Linked DNA regions of Arabidopsis thaliana. The protein of the gene in region 3 interacts with the protein of the main gene of each other region in a pairwise test. Each region holds a gene or a part of one and is shown on either strand. Other genes may lie near its edges. The genes, in order: AGO1, RPP4 and HSP81-3.

Region 1 (8,112 bases), on a different chromosome or scaffold from region 3:
TCTCTCTCTTCTTTATATCAAAATCAAGATGACATTAAGGGATGGGAAACACAAAACTTACCAATTGAAACTGAGCGTGTGCATCTTGCATACCTGTACAAATCAAAAAGGTAGTTTAAATGTTACTCTTATTTTCCTTGCAATCTTGCAAACACTTGTAACAAGGAATATGTTACAAAGGTAAGAAATCTTACGTGTAACATAAGTTATTGGTCAGAGATTGAAGTCCATCTGCAGTAAAGTTGTTCTCATCCCAAAGAACGTGGTAATGAGCAGGTCGAGAAGTGCCCTGTTAATGGAGTTTTGATTTGTTAAACACTTCAAATAAATTCTCACCCACAAACTCATTTGAGATTGTAAATTATACCTGAATACCAGCATGACTACAGAGGTAAAAGTCAAACTCTGTAGGGTGGCAGATTTTAGAGTCCACAACAGTGCCTACAATTAACAAAGGGGTTAAAAACCAATGCAAGGGATTTTCAGCTGATTAGGTCTACGCACAAAAAGCTTGACAAAGATCCAAACTTGTCTCACCAGGTAAAATATTCCCACTTCTGTCCACCGAATGGCGATCATTGTGGTTCTGAGCAAACAGCCTCGTGTGATGACGCTTCTGCACCACCACAAATGTCACTGGTGGTTGATAACCTGCTTCCAGCGAAGCACAGGCCTGAAATGAGTTGAAATAATAATCAGATTAAACAGAAGAAAACGAGCACGCAACACAAGCCATTTGTTAGAAGTAACTGTTACCTTGCGGATGGCATCAAGTTCATAGAGCAAAACTTGGTAAAATTGTCCCTCACTGACTCCATCCCTGTGCAGAATAACCATATAATACATTTCAGAAAGAAAGACAGAAAGTTATTTAGTCAAGTAAGTGCCATAAGAAGAGTTAATACCTGTAGAAGATGATCCTTAGTGGTTTATGCCCAGTTGATCTACGGAAGGCTATGAGCAACTCCCTGTTCAAAAGTAAGGGGAGAAACGTACAGATCTGTTACTTAAGAGCAAGCTAAAGCTAAAACCCAATCACGAAAATATTAAATAACATCCACACGTACTTTATCATGCCACCAGTCACCACACCTTTCTGAGGATCCTTCCACTCTTTGAACAGATCCTGAATGAGCTCCTGCCTATGCGCTTGAGCGCAAACTAATCCAGCATATTTAGTGATTTCAGGCCAATCCTGAGATGCCACAACCTGAAAACAAAAATTTCGTTGTCAACAAAACAAGCACAATTTGAAAAGGTTAAGGCCATGAAAATAAACAAAAGCATCCATATACAGAAGTAGATCTTAAAGGAGAAGCTAACTTACAGCAGCAATAGATGGGCTTGAATCCTCTCCAGGGTGAGGGTGGGTAACATCAGCACCAAATATAATGGTGGGTCGATCACTGACTAGAGGAATCCGCCTAGATAGAGCATCAACAAGCACTGTGTTTCTTCCTCCAACCTTCACATTAATCTTCAGCGCAACATTAGCCATGTATTGTTTGCTCATCTTAAAGACATGCTTTGTCAGGCAACATTGAGAGACTATGCCGAGTTCAGTCTCACATATGCGTTTCAAATCACCTGCAATGGATATTATTAAGGAAAATAAGTTGAGAGTGTGTTCCTAAGCAGAAGTAGACAATGAAACATCCGAGACCATGGCTCATACCGTATAATGATCCATTATTATCGGGCAGAATGACAATAAGCAGATCAATTTCTTTTCCTTGGGAGAGTTTTGATGTGGCATCATGATATCTAGTCTTCAAGACCTTCTCTACTTGCTCAGGGCGAGCACTGACTGGTGGGAGGACTGGTTCCGGATTAAATGCCTGCAGGTAAGAAATAAAAAATTAAAGGGAAGGAATCAGTGTAGGAAAGGTTAATAAACTGATCAAGTTTGTGCTTCCAAAGACTCACCATGCCAGATACGTAACACATTTGAGCAAGTTCCTGACAAAATGTACGCGCTAGATTGTCCTGCACTTGCCTAGAAAAGTTGATGCAGATCCAATTATTCACCGTTCCACCATTGATCATTTTCTGCAGAGAAGACTCATATTAGCCAGACAACAGAAAACGTTGTGATCACTTTCAAAAAATAACAAAGACAAATTCAGTGTGTATCTACATAGCTACATGAACAAAATACTCTCTGCAACTAGTCAAGTGCCACACCCATACTCATATCAAGAGAATAGCATTTTAGAGTAATATGTCTCATAACAGACAAATAAATAAACAATTTTCTTGCCAATTACCTGGAAATATACAGCTCAGCCATGATTTACAAAATATTCACATAAAAATGACAGCATAGGTATATATAGGTAACACAAGCAAGAAACATGTAAGTGCATAGTTGAAAACCAGGAACATTTTCGTCTAGTTACCTTATTCATCATGTTCCATTGACCAACTTGTGGCAGACAAGTCCCTTCCCTTCCAGACTCGTGGTACTTAAGCTGCAGAACATTAAAATCAGATTGGAACCCTAATTTGAGTCATTAAGATACAGAGAAAAAGTGTAATAGCAAAGAGACAATGGGAACGATTACTATACCCATGGAGGAGGCAGTATACGAGCCTCAACAGAAGCCAGAGAAGTACTTATTTTGATGCCAAACTCTTGAGCATAATTATCTTTAGCATAATCATTGAGTTGCACCGTCTAGAAATCAGAAAATATTGTATAATGTTAGCAATAAACAATTGAGTTTTCAACAACAGCAGCCAGAAGACACACGCGCTGCTAAATTAAGAGCACAACTCTGAAGATGGTAATCTGCCTCACTATTTATGAAGTAAAGGCATCATCTCAAGGTAAATCACTCTCTTCAAGCAAACATATGCATCCAAGTAAAGAAGAAACAGGTTTTTAAGCCATTCATTCCATAACATCCTTTCAGCCACAAGTTTATATGATTAAAAACAAGTTAGATATGAATTGAGAAAATCACTTACTTCAAGTAAACACATGCAACCAAGTAAGAATAAACAGATTTTACAATGATCTATTCCACAATGAGGCTTTATCACCAGCATACATTATTTAAAACGACTATCAAGATAGGCGGACAAAAAGATACTCTTGATTCAAGTGAAGGAAAACAAAGTTATCGAAAATAAAGAAACATACCTGTAAGATATCTTTTTCTCGATCTATCGGGCGCTGACAGGTAACCTTCAGCAAAGCAGTGATCTGTCTCTCATTCAATCTTTTGGAATACCGCTGGCCTTCAACAATCTTGCATACCTGTGCAGCAACACATTAGAATCGGAAGTACTGGTGAGCTAATAAAACCTGATGACGTATTTCAAAGTTACCTCCATTGGTAAGTAATTAGGCCTATTAGAATTCCCAACTTGCAAGCATGGTAGTTGAGTGTGCTGAATGCGAAAACCATATGTTTCGTGGAAGTATTCTACAACAGATTTCTGAGTATTTCTTTCATCTACTGGGAATCTGAAAAGGATAAAAACAGAGAGTAAAAATTAATTTCATCAAGTTCAACATTCGCGAAATAAGAGTAGTAAATCTAAAACAAATACGCACGTCAATTCCCGAGTGGCCACAGCAGTCAAACCGGAAATGCGGTACTTCCGGCGCATGTTTCCTCGATGAGTCACTTCAACTTTGACACCTCTAAGAGCCTTTTTTATCTGTTGACAGAAGAAGATTCCAAGTCACTAAGCAAAGAAGAGTAGATTAATACAACATTTCACTTACTACAGAAAATGACAATTGATTCATACCTTAACACGATCAGCATCAGATAAAGGTCGAGAAGAAATATCCCGGTTAAGCAAATCACAGACAAACTGAATCACAGGGTTTGCCTCTATGAAGGCTGTCGATGACATATCTACAAAACAGACAAAATTGCAGCACAACCATGAGTTAAACATTCAAGGAGAACCAGATATCAAAAATTATTGAATGTAATACAGCAAGCCATCACACCAATATTGAGTGATAAGCCCATCTGTGTAGGACGAATGCTTTGGTAGAATCCACGCCAGCTCTCCAAGCCATCCCCCAATGATTGTTTTTTTCCTATATCAGGGGAATAAAAGGACCGGCCCACCGGAATATACCTGATTCTAACATGTTAGCAAAACTAAACCAGCTGAGACTTACAAGCATGGTAGTAAAGAAGCAAACATCCATAGGATGAGTAACCAGTACCTAGAGGTCGGCAGCTCACGAAGAACAATGTCAAGAACCTGCAGAGCTTCCTGTGGGGCATCTGATTGTTTCCCCTCCAAAAACATTCCTAGGTGATGCAGATCAGCACGTGCAACTAGCTTGATCACAACTTTAAATTCCCTTTCTCGTCTGTAAAATAGGAAAGATGTTATTATTCTGAAACTTCCTTATTAAAAAAATCAACAAGAAACCATAAGAACTAGACCTTTGACCTCCAGCCCCTACTTCTTCGTCAAGAAGATTGATTCTGAACTCCTTGGAGTTAAAGGGAAGTGGACCAGCAGTGTAAAGACTTTTTCGACCATCATACGCTGGAAGACGACTTCCAAGGTGAGAATCACGATAATTATCAACAAGTTGTTTCATCACAGCACGATTGACACCCCTTGATGTAACTTCCGGAGTAATGGTAACCTAACAGAAAGAACACAGTTGGTCAGGTAAATTTATAAATAGACATTAGATGTATGGTAGCTAATACTAAGGGAACACAAAACTCACATCATAATGGTGCAAATCCTTATCAGGCAGTTCAGCAAAGAAATGGTTAGCCTTCACAATGCAACGCTTTCCACTCTGTCCTTTACCAGGCCTCATTGGAAACTTGAAAGCCTTGCTAGAAGAAGGTATAGGCTGGATTGCCTGACTGGGAGCTCCTTGTTCAACAGAGAGTTGTTCAAATTGCTGAGCCAGAACAGTAGGTTCTGGTACCTGGGTAGGACTCACCTCAGACAGTGTAGGCTGAGAAGACACCGCTTGATAAGTAGGTGAGGTAGCTTGATGCAGCTCGGGAACTGATTGTCTCTGCGGTGGTCCAGAAGAAGGTCCACCTCCACGGCCACCGCCATACCCTCCTCGACCTCCTTGATGAGGAGGTCCTCCTCTTCCTCTTCCTTGGTACTCTTGTGGTCCTCCATACTGTTGTTGCTGTTGTGGTGGTTGCCCATATCCACGACCACCACGACCTCCCTGTTGAGGTTGAGGAGTATAACCCCTTCCACCTTGGTGTTGTCCTCCTCCCTGCTGGAAACCACCTCGCTGTGAACCACGTCCACCACCTGAGACTGGACCAGCTTCACGAGACCCAGAGCCTTCACCTCCTTCAGATGGAGCATCCGTTCTTCTCTTTCTCACCATGATGATTCCTGTGAAAATAACACAACCACCCAAAAACAGTGGGTCATTTTAAAATTATCCTTGAAAATAAGAAGCAAACATTGAAAACAAGCACAAAACTATCGAAATATAGAAGCAACAGAAGAAAACCCTAACTAGCTTCAAAAACAAACGACTCAGAAGCACGAAAACCAGTGATTAGCTAGAGAGATAGAAAACCAAATTCAACAGCCCAAAGCAAACATAGAAAACCTAGTAAGAAACAATCAAAGACCTAAACAGAAAACGAAGTAAGAAAACAAGCACGAAACAGTAAGAAATTTGAAGCAACAAAAAAAAAAAACCTAAATATCTTCGAAGACGAACACACACACCAAAACAGCTACGAAGCTAATAGATCCGAAATCGCAAAGATCAACTAAACATACAACACTATCAGTGAACCATAACACCAAAACGAAGCGGATCCACCCAATCGAGTGGAAAAATCGAGTTCATACGCAGATCGAACACAGATTAAGTGAAGAACAAACACCAAAACCGCCGCCATTTTTACCTGAAAAGCAATCTCTCGCCGGAGAAACTAAGATTGACCGAGAAAATCCGTACGAAACACCAACCCTACGTCGCTCTCGCCTCTCTGTGTTCTCTCTATATCTTTCTCTCTCTCTCTAACTCCGAACAAACGAGATAACTCAAAGAAATGAGATTTTACTGCTACACTTTAAATTCAAGGGTTCTGTGGTTAGAGTAAGTTACGGAATTACCCTCTTCATTAATAGCTGGCATATGTCGACGTGGCGAGTCAGGGTTGGGTCTTTGGAATGCTGACCCAAGGTCGTGTGTAGTCTTTCATTGTTTGTAATGCGCTGATGACGTGGAATTGCATAATGTTTTTTTAATCCGGAAAAAGAAGCTTCTCGAAAACAACAAGACGAAAAACATTTTTGTCGTTTATCTACCAAATCTTTTTTAATTTATTTTACTAACAGTATATGTATTATCCGATTAAATATGATTAGTGTGATGCGTTACCTCGATTAATCTTCAAGAGTTAGTTGCATTAATTTAAATATTTGTTTTAGACTATAATATACCTCGATTAATCTTGTAAAGTTAGTTGCATTAATTTACTATTTCAACGAGAGATAATGCATGCACAAGTGTTCAAAATTAGTAGACCGGCCGTTATTAATCTTATTATTAATCTGTAGTAACTGATTAGATCATAATTTTTGGCTTACGTTACGTATAAAGGATGTTATACAGTTAAGTACAACAGTTTAAAATTGGTACTTGTGTGTGAAGATAAAACAGTGGCTAGAGAAAATGTCGTGAGTCAAGGCGACTGATCGAGTAGTACTAACGAATTGTACATTGTCAAGGAGGATTTTTCATGCAACGAAAGGCAAAATCATGCGAATTACGTTTAGTTTTATAGACTATATATAAGATAAAGTGAATGATTATAGTATAGAGGTGAATAGAAGAACTATTTATTAACTGAGATGGGTCATGGGTGGTGGGGCAAATATGAATATAGCCATTTACTATATAGATAACTCTCTTTCGTTTTCATAGAAATATGACCTGCGATTTCGGGGAAGTGATGCTTTTTTACAGGTTTGCCAATTTTCTAACTTTAGGAATGTGGTGGCTGTCATCACGTGGTATGATTTGTTTGTTTAATTCAATTTACTTTATTTGATGGTTAGCTCTTTAATTTAGTTTCACTAGTTGATTTGCTTCTGTACCTCAAAAAAATTCATATACTCGTAACAAATCTGTATTATATATAATTGTCAAAGATGATTTATACATATATAACAAAATTGGTTGCTCGTGCGTGAAGAAGAAATATGAGCTAGAGAATATGTCACGAGTAATTACATGCTGACGAAAGGCTAAATCTTGGGGAAAACGTTTAGATTTCTTTTTGTGATAACTGTAAGTCTATCTCAAAATGATTCGTTTGCTTTGGGAAATAATGATTCTTTTCATTATAAACATTAATTATAATAATCAAACGAGAAATTAAAAGGCGAAAGATTATAATAATCAAGCGAGATGTATAGAAGAACTTATATATGATTTCTCATAACGGAAGAAGAACTTAGAACTCGTCAAGTACTACTACCTCGAGAGTCGAGATGAAGATTAACGGCATATAAGCATTGATATCAATCAAGATTGGTGTACGTAATTACGGGCACCAACGCACATGCATGCATGGCGAGTCTAGCTAGAACCGATCGAAAACGTTGGTTTACGATGGAGGTTTGTGTTCCTTATAAGAACTACGTACAGTTTGGCTCATGTTTGAGTCGATTGGTGCGGTCTTGACGAGAAACGACTCTCACGGCTCGGTTCTCTTCTATAATCAATAGATGTTTTTGTACAAGTTTACGTTTCCGTGTTAATTAGGTGAAAGAATATCTAGACACTTTACCTAACAAAAGATTGTCTAGATCATATAGTAAGGTGAAAAAACATAAAGTTGTAGACAAAATATTAGATGTTGATTGGAGTTCTAAATCGAGATATTGTAGGAAGCCGTTAAGAGGAAGAAAGTTACAAAAGACTTATGAAAATGATGTTTGAACGAAGACTTTATGTAAAACTCCATAAAGTCTTAGTTTTCCTTTGGAAGCCATTAGCGTATGGTTTGGAATTTGGATAGTGACCATTAATTCTATCGAAAACATTACTTGTAAGTAAATGCTATCTTAATCATCGGATATTATCCAATTCTCAATTATTTTAGAGAGTTATTATGCCTT
Region 2 (7,793 bases), on a different chromosome or scaffold from region 3:
CCTAATCCATGTGCATGTATGTATTGGGAAACAAGACTTTGATATTAAACAATCATAAGTACATTCTTACGATAAACTGTCTTGTACAAGGACAACTGACAACCACAAAATTTGTGTGTTTCAAAATATCTGTGTAGAGGAAACGAATAACGTAAGTTTCTGTCTAATTGCCTAGAACTTGAAATATTATTTCTGTCTTGTACAAAGACTTATCATAATTCAGTGACAACCACAAAAATTCAATCTTCAAAAATATCTCTTGAATGTGTCTCCATCTCAGGATTATAGTGATGGAAGCTCAAGTTTGAGATTTTTCCCTCAGATTTCAAGTAACATCATATGCCTATGGTGGCGTTATTGTCCATTGAAGCGTTTGCCTTCTAATTTTAAGGCTGAGTATCTGGTTGAACTCATAATGGAGGATAGTGACCTTGAGAAGCTGTGGAATGGAACTCAGGTACTAATTTTTTATTGTTTTTGTTGTCAATTTGAAAACAGAAATGTGTTATGTTTATTGATTTATTTGTTCAAAAAATTAAATGAATTTTTTGAAATGTTTACGAACGTCTGTTATTCTCTCTTTCCTTGTTTTCAGTTACTTGGAAGCCTAAAGAAGATGATTCTGCGTAATTCCAAATATTTGAAAGAAATTCCAGATCTTTCTTTAGCCACAAACCTCGAGAGACTAGATCTTTGTAAATGCGAAGTGCTAGAAAGTTTTCCAACTCCTCTCAACTCGGAATCTCTTGAGTACCTCAATCTCCTACGATGCCCCAAGTTGAGAAATTTCCCTGAGATTATTATGCACAGTTTCAGAGGAGAAATTGACATCGAGGTAGCAGATTGTTTATGGAACAAGAATCTCCCTGGACTCGGTTATCTTGATTGCCTTAGGAGATGTAATCCAAGTAAATTTCGCCCAGAACATCTCAAAGACCTCACAGTGAGATGTAACAACAAGCTTGAGAAGCTATGGGAAGGCGTCCAGGTAATTCATACGTATATTATATATTGATCAAGATTCAATAAGAGATTCATCCGTACAAATAAGGAGAAAGGCCTAGTATTGGGTATGTGCTACAAGGAGTTGGGCCGAACACATGAGAAGTCTATGGAGAGCTTCTAGAAAGAGTGAAGGCGCACAAATATCTCTTGTAGCCGTTGAAGAGGACTCACGAGTGTCTTTAGCGACATGGTCAACCAAGGACCAGTCGCTCTCACCATCAAGACCAAGGAACCTCTTCTCTCATGTCTCTTTCAGTCTTACGTTAATTGTAAACGGTCATATTCCCTTTGTGTGTCTTTAAATACATTGTAAACACACAAAGGTTACTAACTAATTCTATCAATATGATTTGGTCATTCTCACTCATATACCAACTCTCTTGTTCTTCATAATTCTCTTACTCTTTGCTACAATTCCGCATATTCTTTCATTATATACAAGGACAACTGATAACCACAAAATTTGTGTTTTCAAAATATCTTTGTAGAGGAAACGAATGTAAGTTTCTGTCTACTTGCCTAGAAATTGAAATATTATTTCTGTCTTGTACAAAGACTAAGACTTATCATAATTCAGTGACAACCACAAAAATTCAATCTTCAAAAATATCTTTGTATGTAGTGTAAAAAAGCTTTCGAGGAAAGGAAGGGCCGAGTTTCTTTATTATTTACGTCTCAATTGTCTTGTTAGGAGATTTGATTTTAGCCACTTAAAAGAATATCTTGTACAGTAAGTCTTCTATGCAAGTCTTGGAGGGAAGGAAGACGAAGTTTCTCCTCTCTTTCTCACACTATGTCTTGCTGATTTACTTCTCTTAAAAATCTTCGTCTCTTCTCTGAGTTCCCTCTATCGTCTCCCATGGCTTCTTCTTCTTCTTCTCCTAGTAGCCGGAGATACGACGTTTTCCCAAGCTTCAGTGGGGTAGATGTTCGCAAAACGTTCCTCAGCCATCTAATCGAGGCGCTCGACCGCAGATCAATCAATACATTCATGGATCACGGCATCGTGAGAAGCTGCATAATCGCCGATGCGCTTATAACGGCCATTAGAGAAGCGAGGATCTCAATAGTCATCTTCTCTGAGAACTATGCTTCTTCAACGTGGTGCTTGAATGAATTGGTGGAGATCCACAAGTGTTACAAGAAAGGGGAACAAATGGTGATTCCGGTTTTCTACGGCGTTGATCCTTCTCATGTTAGAAAACAGATCGGTGGCTTTGGCGATGTCTTTAAAAAGACATGCGAGGACAAACCAGAGGATCAGAAACAAAGATGGGTTAAAGCTCTCACAGATATATCAAATTTAGCCGGGGAGGATCTTCGGAACGGGTATGTTTTATTTATTCCACTATTTCTATGAGTGTTTATAATTATTGCAAAACTAGAAAATGTGCGTGGGTTTAAAATTAATATAAAATATGAAATAATTTTAAAATTTACATAATGAAATATTTTTAGCTATTTAAAAACAAATTTTTTATTGTGTATATCATATTACATAAATTAGTTGTTTATAAAGCTTTCAAAAAATATTTGGAATTACTCTCAGTTAAAGAGAGCAAATTAATTTTGTTTTGAATAAAAATTTCAATTTCATTATGGAATATAATTATATTAGCATCTACAATATGGGTAGCTTGAAATAAGTGTTATATGTTTTGTTGATTTTGAACTCATTAAATTTGTTTTTCTTTTGTTATAATTTATATGAATTCATGTGGTGTAAAATAATTTATTAATAAATATATAATTAAAGTTTCAATTAGCATGTCAATATGACATATTACATTTTTACTTTCACAATAAATAATATCTACTCAAGATTTGGTTTTTTAATCGACAAAATTGATATATTGGTAAGTCCTGATTTTCAAAATCAACTGACGACCTTTATGTTATTGAAAAAACTAAAATGATCTCCTAACTTCTAAATTACACACTTTCATTGTTTCACATCATCATCATCATCTATTGTTTGAGAGAAATGCAAGATTTTATCAAGCTATTACACTTTCTTTACAAACAAACCAATGCCCTTTTTAAGAGACTCAACAAATTCGTCCTAGGTATAATAAACCGTATTTCAAGCACACCACTCGACATTGATCTAATGCGCTATTGTATAAAAAGTTATTTTTTTAAACATCATTATCCTTTTTATAAATCTTGCTTTACTGAAATTAACAGTTTACCCAAAATATATAAAACATTTTGTCTCATATTTCGTAAGACACATTTTATTTTGTCTTGATATAATATATAATTAAACCTAAATTTCAAATATAATTAAGGATATAGATAAAAGGTCGCACATGATGGCTTCTCAAATACTCTCATATAAAAAATCTTAAAATTTAAGAAAAGATAAACTTGAAAAATAAAAATCCTAAATCATTTCAATATGTCACTCATATAAAAGAATTTAATTTTGTTTTGCTTCATTATATATAATAGAGTCTTTTATTATGAATTATTTGGTCCTAAATATAACTTTTAATGTGTATTATAGGCATAGATTTTTGTTATTTGTATTATGAGTCTTTCAATATTTTGACTTATAGGTTTGAAAACAATTATTGGAAAAGTCATTAAATATAAGTAATGATAGAAAAAGATTAAACAATTTTCCTCATATGAGTGAACTAATGTTGATCATGTTTTCTTTAGAGGCTGAGAATTGAGCTTCCTTATGCTAAAAAATGAACACAATTTTAAGTTTTTTTTTTTGTCAATTTGGATGCCAACGCAAATTGATGTAGAGTAAGATGAGATTGAACAAAATTACTGAAATGTTGTTTTAAAGAACATATATGTCAACAAAATTTGGTAACTATTTATAGAAATATTGGGTGAACAAATTATAATTCTCATTTTAAAATTCAAAACATTATAAACAGAAACTACATATAATTAGAATTTAATTTTATTAACAAAAATAAAAAATATTATACTAAAATTTAACTCGAAATATTTAAGTTGGAAAGAGAAATAAATAGTTATATAATTAGTATGGTCATACCTATTGTTATCGCTCCACCATTAATCGAGATTAACTAAATCACTTGCATCAAATTTTGTATTTTATGAATGATCAAAACCTTGATCCTTACTTTCTCTTGCAATTGACTATGCTATCCATAGTCTGCTAGCTTCTTATCTTATATCCATTTAAATGGTTTAAAGTGCATTTGATGCCTACAAAACAAAAAAAAAAACTTTTTCTAAAAGATGCAAAAATATCTTGAATTAAATTCAGAACAAAAAAAAACAGGAAAAAAACACATGTAAGTAAGATTCAATATAACCATTTTAGAAACATTAAACAATATGAAATCATTCACAAAAACTTAAAAAGAAAACGAAATCTGAGAGCTAATACGAGTCCAAACCTTAAATGAAGGAGAGAAATTGAAAGACAGGGACTCTTGCCGTAAACGTTGTTAATACCGCAAGCCATCTTCCATTTTTCGTCAATTGTTAAAGGAAATAAAAATACTTGTGTGTGATAAAAAATAGTATATATATTTGCTATTTATATCAGAAAAGTAGATATTTAGGGTATAACTAATTCATGTGTTTATTTCCAGCATAAATGTTAATAATTGGTTCAAAAACGTTTGCAACACAAACGTTACATGAGTAACAATTTTTTTTTTTTTAAAACGTTACATGAGACACTCAATCACCCTAATTTTCTTTTTCTCATTGGTGTTTACTTTACATTTCATTGATTTTAGTCATTTGAGTCTTTTTTAATGAGGTTAGTTTTACATTTATTTCAAATTTATTTTCTTATGAAATCATATTTTTAAAAGCAATTCTATTATTTAAATATTTAAATATTAAAAATTATTAAAAGACAATCCCAAAGTAAGATAGGTATGATAATATTTATAGTAAATAATTTAATAAAAGCATGTGTAAATATTATATTATAAAATGAGAGAAAATAAAAAGACAAATCATATTTTAATGCATCTGTATTATTTATATATTGATAAATGATACATCATCAAATAATAAAATTAGAATTAATATTTATTCTATTTTCATTGTTTTGAAAATTAGAATAAATTATTTATTCATTGTTTATGCTAAATTCATTTTTTGAATAAACTGTAGGAAAATATGTTATATATCATGAAAATAATCTTTGATATTTGCTTTTAATGATTGAAAGTAAAACAAAATTAATTTAGAAATAAATTTAAAATTTCTTACTTATATTTTTTCAAAAACAAAATATTTTATAATTAAATTTAATGCAAAATGATTATGGTATATTTCAGTTTTGGAAGCAATAAAAATTAAAAAAATTACACATATCGAAAGAATAGAGTGCGACTTATCAAATTCTCAGAGCATGACTTCGAGAAAACCTTACTTTATTATATAAGACTGGGTTTTTTTTTCTTGCGTTGACTTCGAATCTTCGATTGTGCTTTTAAGGGTGCCTCTCTATTGACACAATTGACTATTGTTATTAGGCCTACTGAAGCGTTTATGGTTAAAAAGATAGCCAATGATGTTTCGAATAAACTTTTTCCTCTGCCAAAGGGTTTTGGTGACTTCGTCGGAATTGAAGATCATATAAAGGCAATAAAATCAATACTTTGCTTGGAATCCAAGGAAGCTAGAATAATGGTCGGGATTTGGGGACAGTCAGGGATTGGTAAGAGTACCATAGGAAGAGCTCTTTTCAGTCAACTCTCTAGCCAGTTCCACCATCGCGCTTTCATAACTTATAAAAGCACCAGTGGTAGTGACGTCTCTGGCATGAAGTTGAGTTGGGAAAAAGAACTTCTCTCGGAAATCTTAGGTCAAAAGGACATAAAGATAGATCATTTTGGTGTGGTGGAGCAAAGGTTAAAGCACAAGAAAGTTCTTATCCTTCTTGATGATGTGGATAATCTAGAGTTTCTTAAGACCTTGGTGGGAAAAGCTGAATGGTTTGGTTCTGGAAGCAGAATAATTGTGATCACTCAAGATAAGCAACTTCTCAAGGCTCATGAGATTGACCTTGTATATGAGGTGGAGCTGCCATCTCAAGGTCTTGCTCTTAAGATGATATCCCAATATGCTTTTGGGAAAGACTCTCCACCTGATGATTTTAAGGAACTAGCATTTGAAGTTGCCGAGCTTGTCGGTAGTCTTCCTTTGGGTCTCAGTGTCTTGGGTTCATCTTTAAAAGGAAGGGACAAAGATGAGTGGGTGAAGATGATGCCTAGGCTTCGAAATGATTCAGATGATAAAATTGAGGAAACACTAAGAGTCGGCTACGATAGGTTAAATAAAAAAAATAGAGAGTTATTTAAGTGCATTGCATGTTTTTTCAATGGTTTTAAAGTCAGTAACGTCAAAGAATTACTTGAAGATGATGTTGGGCTTACAATGTTGGCTGATAAGTCCCTCATACGTATTACACCGGATGGAGATATAGAGATGCACAATTTGCTAGAGAAATTGGGTAGAGAAATTGATCGTGCAAAGTCCAAGGGTAATCCTGCAAAACGTCAATTTCTGACGAATTTTGAGGATATTCAAGAAGTAGTGACCGAGAAAACTGTAAGTTTTTCGCAGCTCCGTTTGAATGCATGACTTTATATTAATATAATCGTAATTTGGGGATTGATAAACTTAAGCAATTGTTGCCTCATGCGTAATTAAAACGTAGTTTTGATGTGTCAGAAAAATAAAAAGGGTTGCGATTGTTAAGATTATATTAGTTTTCTTTGGATTTTTTTTCAGGGGACAGAAACTGTTCTTGGAATACGTGTGCCACCCACGGTATTATTTTCGACAAGGCCGTTATTAGTAATAAACGAAGAATCGTTCAAAGGCATGCGTAATCTCCAATATCTAGAAATTGGTCATTGGTCAGAAATTGGTCTTTGGTCAGAAATTGGTCTTTGGTCAAAAATAGATCTACCTCAGGGCCTCGTTTATTTGCCCCTTAAACTCAAATTGCTAAAATGGAATTATTGTCCATTGAAGTCTTTGCCATCTACTTTTAAGGCGGAATATCTAGTTAACCTCATAATGAAGTATAGTAAGCTTGAGAAACTGTGGGAAGGAACTCTGGTACGAATTCTAAATTTTTATTAGTTGTCAGTTTTTAGAACAGAAAATTGTGGTATATTTGTGAACGTGTGTATTCTCTTTTTCCATATTTTGTTTTCAGCCCCTTGGAAGTCTCAAGAAGATGGATTTGGGGTGTTCCAACAATTTGAAAGAAATTCCAGATCTTTCTTTAGCCATAAACCTCGAGGAATTAAATCTTTCTAAATGCGAATCTTTGGTGACACTTCCTTCCTCGATTCAGAATGCCATTAAACTGAGGACGTTATATTGTTCGGGGGTGCTATTAATAGATTTAAAATCATTAGAAGGCATGTGTAATCTCGAATATCTATCAGTTGATTGGTCAAGTATGGAAGGCACTCAAGGCCTCATTTACTTGCCACGTAAACTCAAAAGGCTATGGTGGGATTATTGTCCAGTGAAGCGTTTGCCTTCTAATTTTAAGGCTGAGTATCTAGTTGAACTCAGAATGGAGAATAGTGACCTTGAGAAGCTGTGGGATGGAACTCAGGTACTAATTCTATTAGTGATCAATTTCTAAACATAAATATGTTAGAAAAACAAAAATGAATCTGTTTAAAATATTCATTAACGCGTGTACTCTCTTTTCCCCTATTTTGTTATCAGCCACTTGGAAGCCTCAAGGAGATGTATCTGCATGGTTCCAAATATTTGAAAGAAATTCCAGATCTTTCTTTAGCCATAAA
Region 3 (5,502 bases):
TACACATTAAAGGTGCCGGAAACAGTGTCGTTGGCAGATCTAACGGCGGATTCGATATCGAAGCCTAAAGTTCCGGTGTCTTCTTCAAAATCTCTCGATGCTGCGTAAGAATTCCAATCAGCTAGCAGAGACGTTCCTCCTGTTTGCAGCGGTTGCTGCTGCTGATCTCCGCTGCTACTAGTGCCGCTCATCGGAAACCATCCTTTGGCCATTTTCTCCATTTCGTTGGGAATTTTTGGAGCTGAGAAATCAAAATATAGCTGAATACCGACGATCAGTGGTTTACGTCGGAGCTAAGGAAATCGGCAGACGTCAAATCGAGCGTTGATGAAGATTCTGTCAAGGGACCGTCGTCTTAAACGGCAGTGTTATTTTGCGTTGCACTACTCATATTCTAATCGTAAAAGTTATTTAAAAAAATAATAATAACCTTTAAAACTGACCAAAAAATTGTTACACAAATTATCCTTTTTAATCAAAGTAGTAACAACATTTGTGCAGAAAATTAACGCTAAGTCAAACAGTAACAACAGTATTATGTCGAACAATAAATTATTTATTATTGTAAAGAATATGTAAGCTGTGTTGTCTGAGATGCTTAACAATATGATTTGGAGCTGCTTCATGTATTTTATTAGCCATATTAGTCATACTAATAACTTAGTTATAGGCTACATAACCAAAATAAGCTTGGATTTGCAAGATTGTGCATAAGAGAACCTTTGTCATCAAACCGAATTCAGAGAAAAAATCTTCACGAAAACAAGCGATAGAAGAAATAAACTCCAGAAAATAGTTCCAAAATATTAGTTCAAACGAAAACATAAAAAAAAAAGATAAAAAGATAACCAATGTCTCAACACCCCTAATGATTAAGTCGACTGTGTGTGATAATTTAGTCAACTTCCTCCATCTTGCTACCTTCAGCATCGGCATCATCTTCAAGTGGAGGCATGTCAGCATCGGCTTCAACAACATCATCGTCATCAATGCTCAATCCAAGCTTCAACATCCTGTGAATCCTGCTCCCGAAAGTGTTGGGCTCATCGAGGCTGAAACCAGAAGTGAGAAGAGCGGTCTCAAAGAGAAGAAGTACAAGGTCCTTCACAGACTTGTCGTTCTTGTCTGCATCAGCTCTCTTTCTCAGCTCATCCATGATGGAGTTCTCTGGGTTAATCTCCATTGTCTTCTTGCTCGACATGTAGCCACCCATGCTGCTGTCTCTCAAGGCTTGAGCTTTCATGATCCTCTCCATGTTTGCAGTCCAGCCATACTCGCCTGTTACAAGACAGCAGGGTGAGTCCACAACACGGTCAGAGACGATAACCTTCTCAACCTTGTCTCCCAAAACGTCCTTGATCACTTTGCAGAGTCCCTCAAACTTCTCCTTGAGCTCTTCTTTCTTCTTCTTCTCGTCTTCAGTCTCATCCAGTTTCAGACCTTCCTTGGTTGCAGAGACAAGCTTCTTTCCTTCGAATTCCTTGAGCTGACCAATAGCATACTCATCGATAGCGTCAACCATGTAGAGAACTTCAATACCCTTCTTCTTGAGCTTCTCAAGGAATGGAGAGTTCTCAACAGCCTTCTTGCTCTCACCAGTGATATAGAAGATATCGTTCTGACCTTCCTTCATCCTTGTCACGTAGTCCTTGAGACTGGTCAATTCATCACCGCTCTTGGTTGAGTGGTAACGGAGCAACTCAGCAATCTTGGTTCTGTTTTGGGAGTCCTCATGGATACCGAGCTTCAGGTTCTTAGAGAAAGCCTCATAGAACTTGTTGTAGTCCTCCTTGTTCTCAGCAATCTCAAAGAAGAGCTCAAGACACTTCTTCACAAGGTTCTTGCGGATGACCTTGAGGATCTTGTTCTGCTGCAATGTTTCTCTTGAGATGTTGAGAGGAAGATCTTCAGAGTCAACAATACCCTTGACAAACCCAAGGTACTCAGGAATGATGTCTTCACAGTTGTCCATGATGAAGACACGACGGACATAGAGCTTGATGTTGTTGGGCTTCTTCTTAGTGTCAAAGAGATCAAAAGGAGCTCTCTTGGGAACAAAGAGGATAGCTTTGAACTCAAGCTGTCCTTCAACTGAGAAATGCTTCACAGCCAAATGCTCTTCCCAGTCATTGCTCAAACTCTTGTAGAAAGCAGCGTACTCCTCCTTGTTGATCTCCTCTGGCTTCCTCATCCAAATCGGTTTCTGCTTGTTCACCAAATCCCACTCATGAGAAACCTCCTTAATCTTCTTCTTTTTCTTCTCCTCCTTTTCTTTCTCCTCATCAACTTCCTCAACCTTGCCTTCCTCATCCTTCTTCTCTTCCTCCTCTTCATCATCAGAGATCTCCTTCTCAATGGTCTTCTCAATCCAGAGAGAGATTGGGTAGCTGATGAACTCAGAGTGCTTCTTCACCAAATCCTTAAGCCTTCGCTCCTCAATGTACTCCATCTGGTCTTCCTTGAGGTAAAGGACCATCTTAGTTCCTCTACCAAGAGCCTCACCAGAGGTGTCTCTGGTGACGGTGAAAGATCCACCGGCCTGAGACTCCCACACGTACTGCTCATCGTCATTGTGCTTGGTAGTAACAACAACCTTGTCAGCAACCAAGTAAGCAGAGTAGAAACCAACACCAAACTGTCCAATCATGCTAACATCAGCTCCAGCAGCCAACGCCTCCATGAATTCTTTGGTTCCAGATCTTGCAATTGTTCCAAGGTTGTTCACCAGATCTGAAAAATAAAACAAAAACGTATTAGCCAACACACCAAACACATAAATAATCAACGAAAACCAATACAAATTGCTTTTGACTGAAATCAATTACGTACCAGCCTTGGTCATCCCAATACCACTATCGATAATCGTCAAGGTGTTGTTAGTCTTGTCGGGAATGATGTGAATGAAGAGCTCTGGCTGACCATCGAGCTTGCTCTTGTCTGTCAAGGACTCAAACCTAATCTTGTCCAAAGCCTGTTTTCACCAGAGTAAAATCACAATCGTAAGTAACCAACCAATACACAGAACGTATATACAAATTACATATAAGCAAACTTTGTAAATCTAACAAGAGTCTGCTTAATCGTTGGTATCAACACTAAAACTAATCAACAGATTTGAACACAAACAGCTTCGCAACTTCAATTACCAACCAAAATTCTAAAATCGGCTAGAACACTAAACCCTAATCAATCCTAAATCTACAGATCGAACAGCCAGATCAATCAAACGAGACAGACAAGTATAAAATAAGGTGTAGAGAGATAGAGATCGTACATCAGAAGAGTTACTGATGAGTTCACGAAGGAAGATCTCCTTGTTAGAGTAAAAGGTATTGATGATGAGGGAGAGCAACTGGTTGATCTCAGCTTGGAAAGCAAAGGTTTCTGCGTCCGCCATTCTCGTTGATCGGAAAAAAAATCTAAGAGCTAGGGTTTATGAATCAAATCGAGAGATAAAGAGAGCAAAATTTTCTTTAGAGAGCAGAGAAGTGTTGATTGATACGAGACTTTGGGGAAGGATGTTATTATATATAGTGGTGTGGGGACTGGGAACCTATAAGGGTTTCTAGATCCTTCCTATTTGATTTATGTTAATTTGCTTTTCAGGTCCACATAATCTGCAATATAATTAAATGGAAATTACAAAATACAAAACTATTTTTTGGTAGAAAAATACAAAACTTTATTAAATTTTTTAAAATTTTATTCCCTTTTATTTTATTTTGGAGAACAGGTGTAATTTACTACTTTTTGTAACAGGTTTTAGTTTACTTCTTTTTTTTTTTGGTTAAATTTTGTAATTTACTATTTTATTTTATTGGTTGATGATAATTTACTATTTATAAAAAACAGTCAGATTTAATTCTACTCCCTTTTTATTTTGCAGAACAGGTGTAATTTACTACTTTTTTGTAACAGGTTTTAGTTTCCTTTTTTGTTAATTTTGTAATTTACTATTTTATTTTATTGATGATAATTTACTATTTTAAAAACAAAGCAATAATTTTATTTTTTGCTTACAACTTTTTTTTTCCTGTTTACAGATTGGTATGTGTATCTTTTAATAAAGTTTCAAAAAAATCAATAATTAAATAATAATATTGAAAGTTGTAAAATAAATAAATTAAAACAATAACAAAAAGAAACACATATTCTCTAAAAAGCGTGGGGTTTGTGGGGAGAAAAAATTGATTTTTTTTTTTTAACTTCAGAATTGATTAAAACTTTTTTTTTTTTTTTAACACAACTATTTATCTTGTTGTTATAAATTAAATACATAACTAAAATTTGAAATAAAATTTTGAGATATCTTGAAACTAAGGGATTAACTTTATCGATTTCAAAAAATAACCCAAAACTAGGACCGATCTAAAAAAATCTAAACATAGATAAACTAGAATGAATGGGAACTTGTAAATTCAAATCCATAACAAAATCGAATTTTGTATATGGAGAAAAACATTGTTTTTATTGATTAGTTTAGCTAATAGAAAAATTTAACAAAAAAAAAAAAAAAAAAAGTAAGTAGCACTTGTTCCAAAAAAAAGGAAAGTAAAATATTATGACAATTTTTATATTTTACAATTTCCATTATATTATGACGTCTGTTTCCACATCCCCTATATATTACACACTTTTCCCCCTTAATCAAACCATCAATACTTCTCTGCTTCTCTTAAGAATTTGCTTTTTGATTCACATAAACCCTAATTCTTAGATTTTTTTCCCGATCAACGATAATGGCGGACGCAGAGACCTTTGCTTTCCAAGCTGAGATCAACCAGTTGCTTTCCCTCATCATCAATACCTTTTACTCCAACAAGGAGATCTTCCTCCGTGAACTCATCAGTAACTCCTCCGATGTACGATCTCTCCCTCTCTGTCTTTCTATGTTTATCTTTAAGCTTAATGTGTTTGTGTATCTCCTTCGATTGATTTGACGGATCTATGTGTAGATTTAGGTTTTATTAGGGTTTAGTGTTCTTTTCGATTTGAGATTTTCGTTTGTTAATTGATGGAACCTTTTCATGTTCAAATTTGTTAGATTACTTAGTTTTTGATTGTATATATGTTGTGTGTATTTTGTTACTTATGATTGAGCTTTTTATTCTGGTGAAACAGGCTTTGGACAAGATTAGGTTCGAGTCCTTGACGGATAAGAGCAAGCTCGATGGTCAGCCTGAGCTTTTCATTCATATCATTCCGGACAAGACTAACAACACCTTGACCATTATCGATAGTGGTATTGGGATGACCAAGGCTGGTACGTAATTGATTTCATTCAAAAGCAAGTTGTACTTGATTTCATTCAAAACCATTATCTATGTGTTTGATTTGTGTTTGCTGATTCGTGTTTGTTCTATTGTACAGATTTGGTGAACAACCTTGGAACAATTGCAAGGTCTGGTACCAAGGAGTTCATGGAGGCATTGGCTGCTGGAGCTGATGTTAGCATGATTGGTCAATTTGGTGTTGGTTTCTACTCTGCTTACTTGGTTGCTG

What was found.
Region 1: the proteins of HSP81-3 (region 3) and AGO1 interact in a two-hybrid assay, tested with the Arabidopsis thaliana proteins (one study listed by BioGRID).
Region 2: the proteins of HSP81-3 (region 3) and RPP4 come close enough for resonance energy transfer, tested with the Arabidopsis thaliana proteins (one study listed by BioGRID).

Annotation. Positions count from the first base shown.
Region 1 is NC_003070.9:17,886,540-17,894,651, forward strand, and holds the start of AGO1 (Stabilizer of iron transporter SufD / Polynucleotidyl transferase), read right to left. Parts: upstream 6,058-8,112; 5' UTR 5,889-6,057; intron 5,362-5,888; 5' UTR 5,354-5,361; coding exon 4,718-5,353; intron 4,631-4,717; coding exon 4,422-4,630; intron 4,346-4,421; coding exon 4,196-4,345; intron 4,111-4,195; coding exon 3,971-4,110; intron 3,873-3,970; coding exon 3,763-3,872; intron 3,670-3,762; coding exon 3,563-3,669; intron 3,473-3,562; coding exon 3,334-3,472; intron 3,263-3,333; coding exon 3,146-3,262; intron 2,678-3,145; coding exon 2,570-2,677; intron 2,472-2,569; coding exon 2,400-2,471; intron 2,050-2,399; coding exon 1,927-2,049; intron 1,839-1,926; coding exon 1,676-1,838; intron 1,588-1,675; coding exon 1,328-1,587; intron 1,211-1,327; coding exon 1,068-1,210; intron 969-1,067; coding exon 906-968; intron 821-905; coding exon 757-820; intron 674-756; coding exon 538-673; intron 442-537; coding exon 368-441; intron 290-367; and 4 more.
Region 2 is NC_003075.7:9,489,772-9,497,564, reverse strand, and holds the start of RPP4 (Disease resistance protein (TIR-NBS-LRR class) family), read left to right. Parts: upstream 1-1,727; 5' UTR 1,728-1,864; coding exon 1,865-2,334; intron 2,335-5,164; exon of another isoform or gene 5,165-5,492; coding exon 5,493-6,570; intron 6,571-6,753; coding exon 6,754-7,086; intron 7,087-7,186; coding exon 7,187-7,597; intron 7,598-7,713; coding exon 7,714-7,793. Other genes in the region: AT4G16880 (Leucine-rich repeat (LRR) family protein), read left to right, coding at 416-457, 596-1,015.
Region 3 is NC_003076.8:22,679,305-22,684,806, reverse strand, and holds HSP81-3 (heat shock protein 81-3), read right to left. Parts: upstream 3,570-5,502; 5' UTR 3,398-3,569; coding exon 3,275-3,397; intron 2,972-3,274; coding exon 2,830-2,971; intron 2,731-2,829; coding exon 896-2,730; 3' UTR 555-895; downstream 1-554. Other genes in the region: AT5G56020 (Got1/Sft2-like vescicle transport protein family), read right to left, coding at 4-221; Hsp81.4 (HEAT SHOCK PROTEIN 81.4), read left to right, coding at 4,740-4,862, 5,122-5,263, 5,371-5,502. UniProt on the Arabidopsis thaliana protein: Functions as a holding molecular chaperone (holdase) which stabilizes unfolding protein intermediates and rapidly releases them in an active form once stress has abated.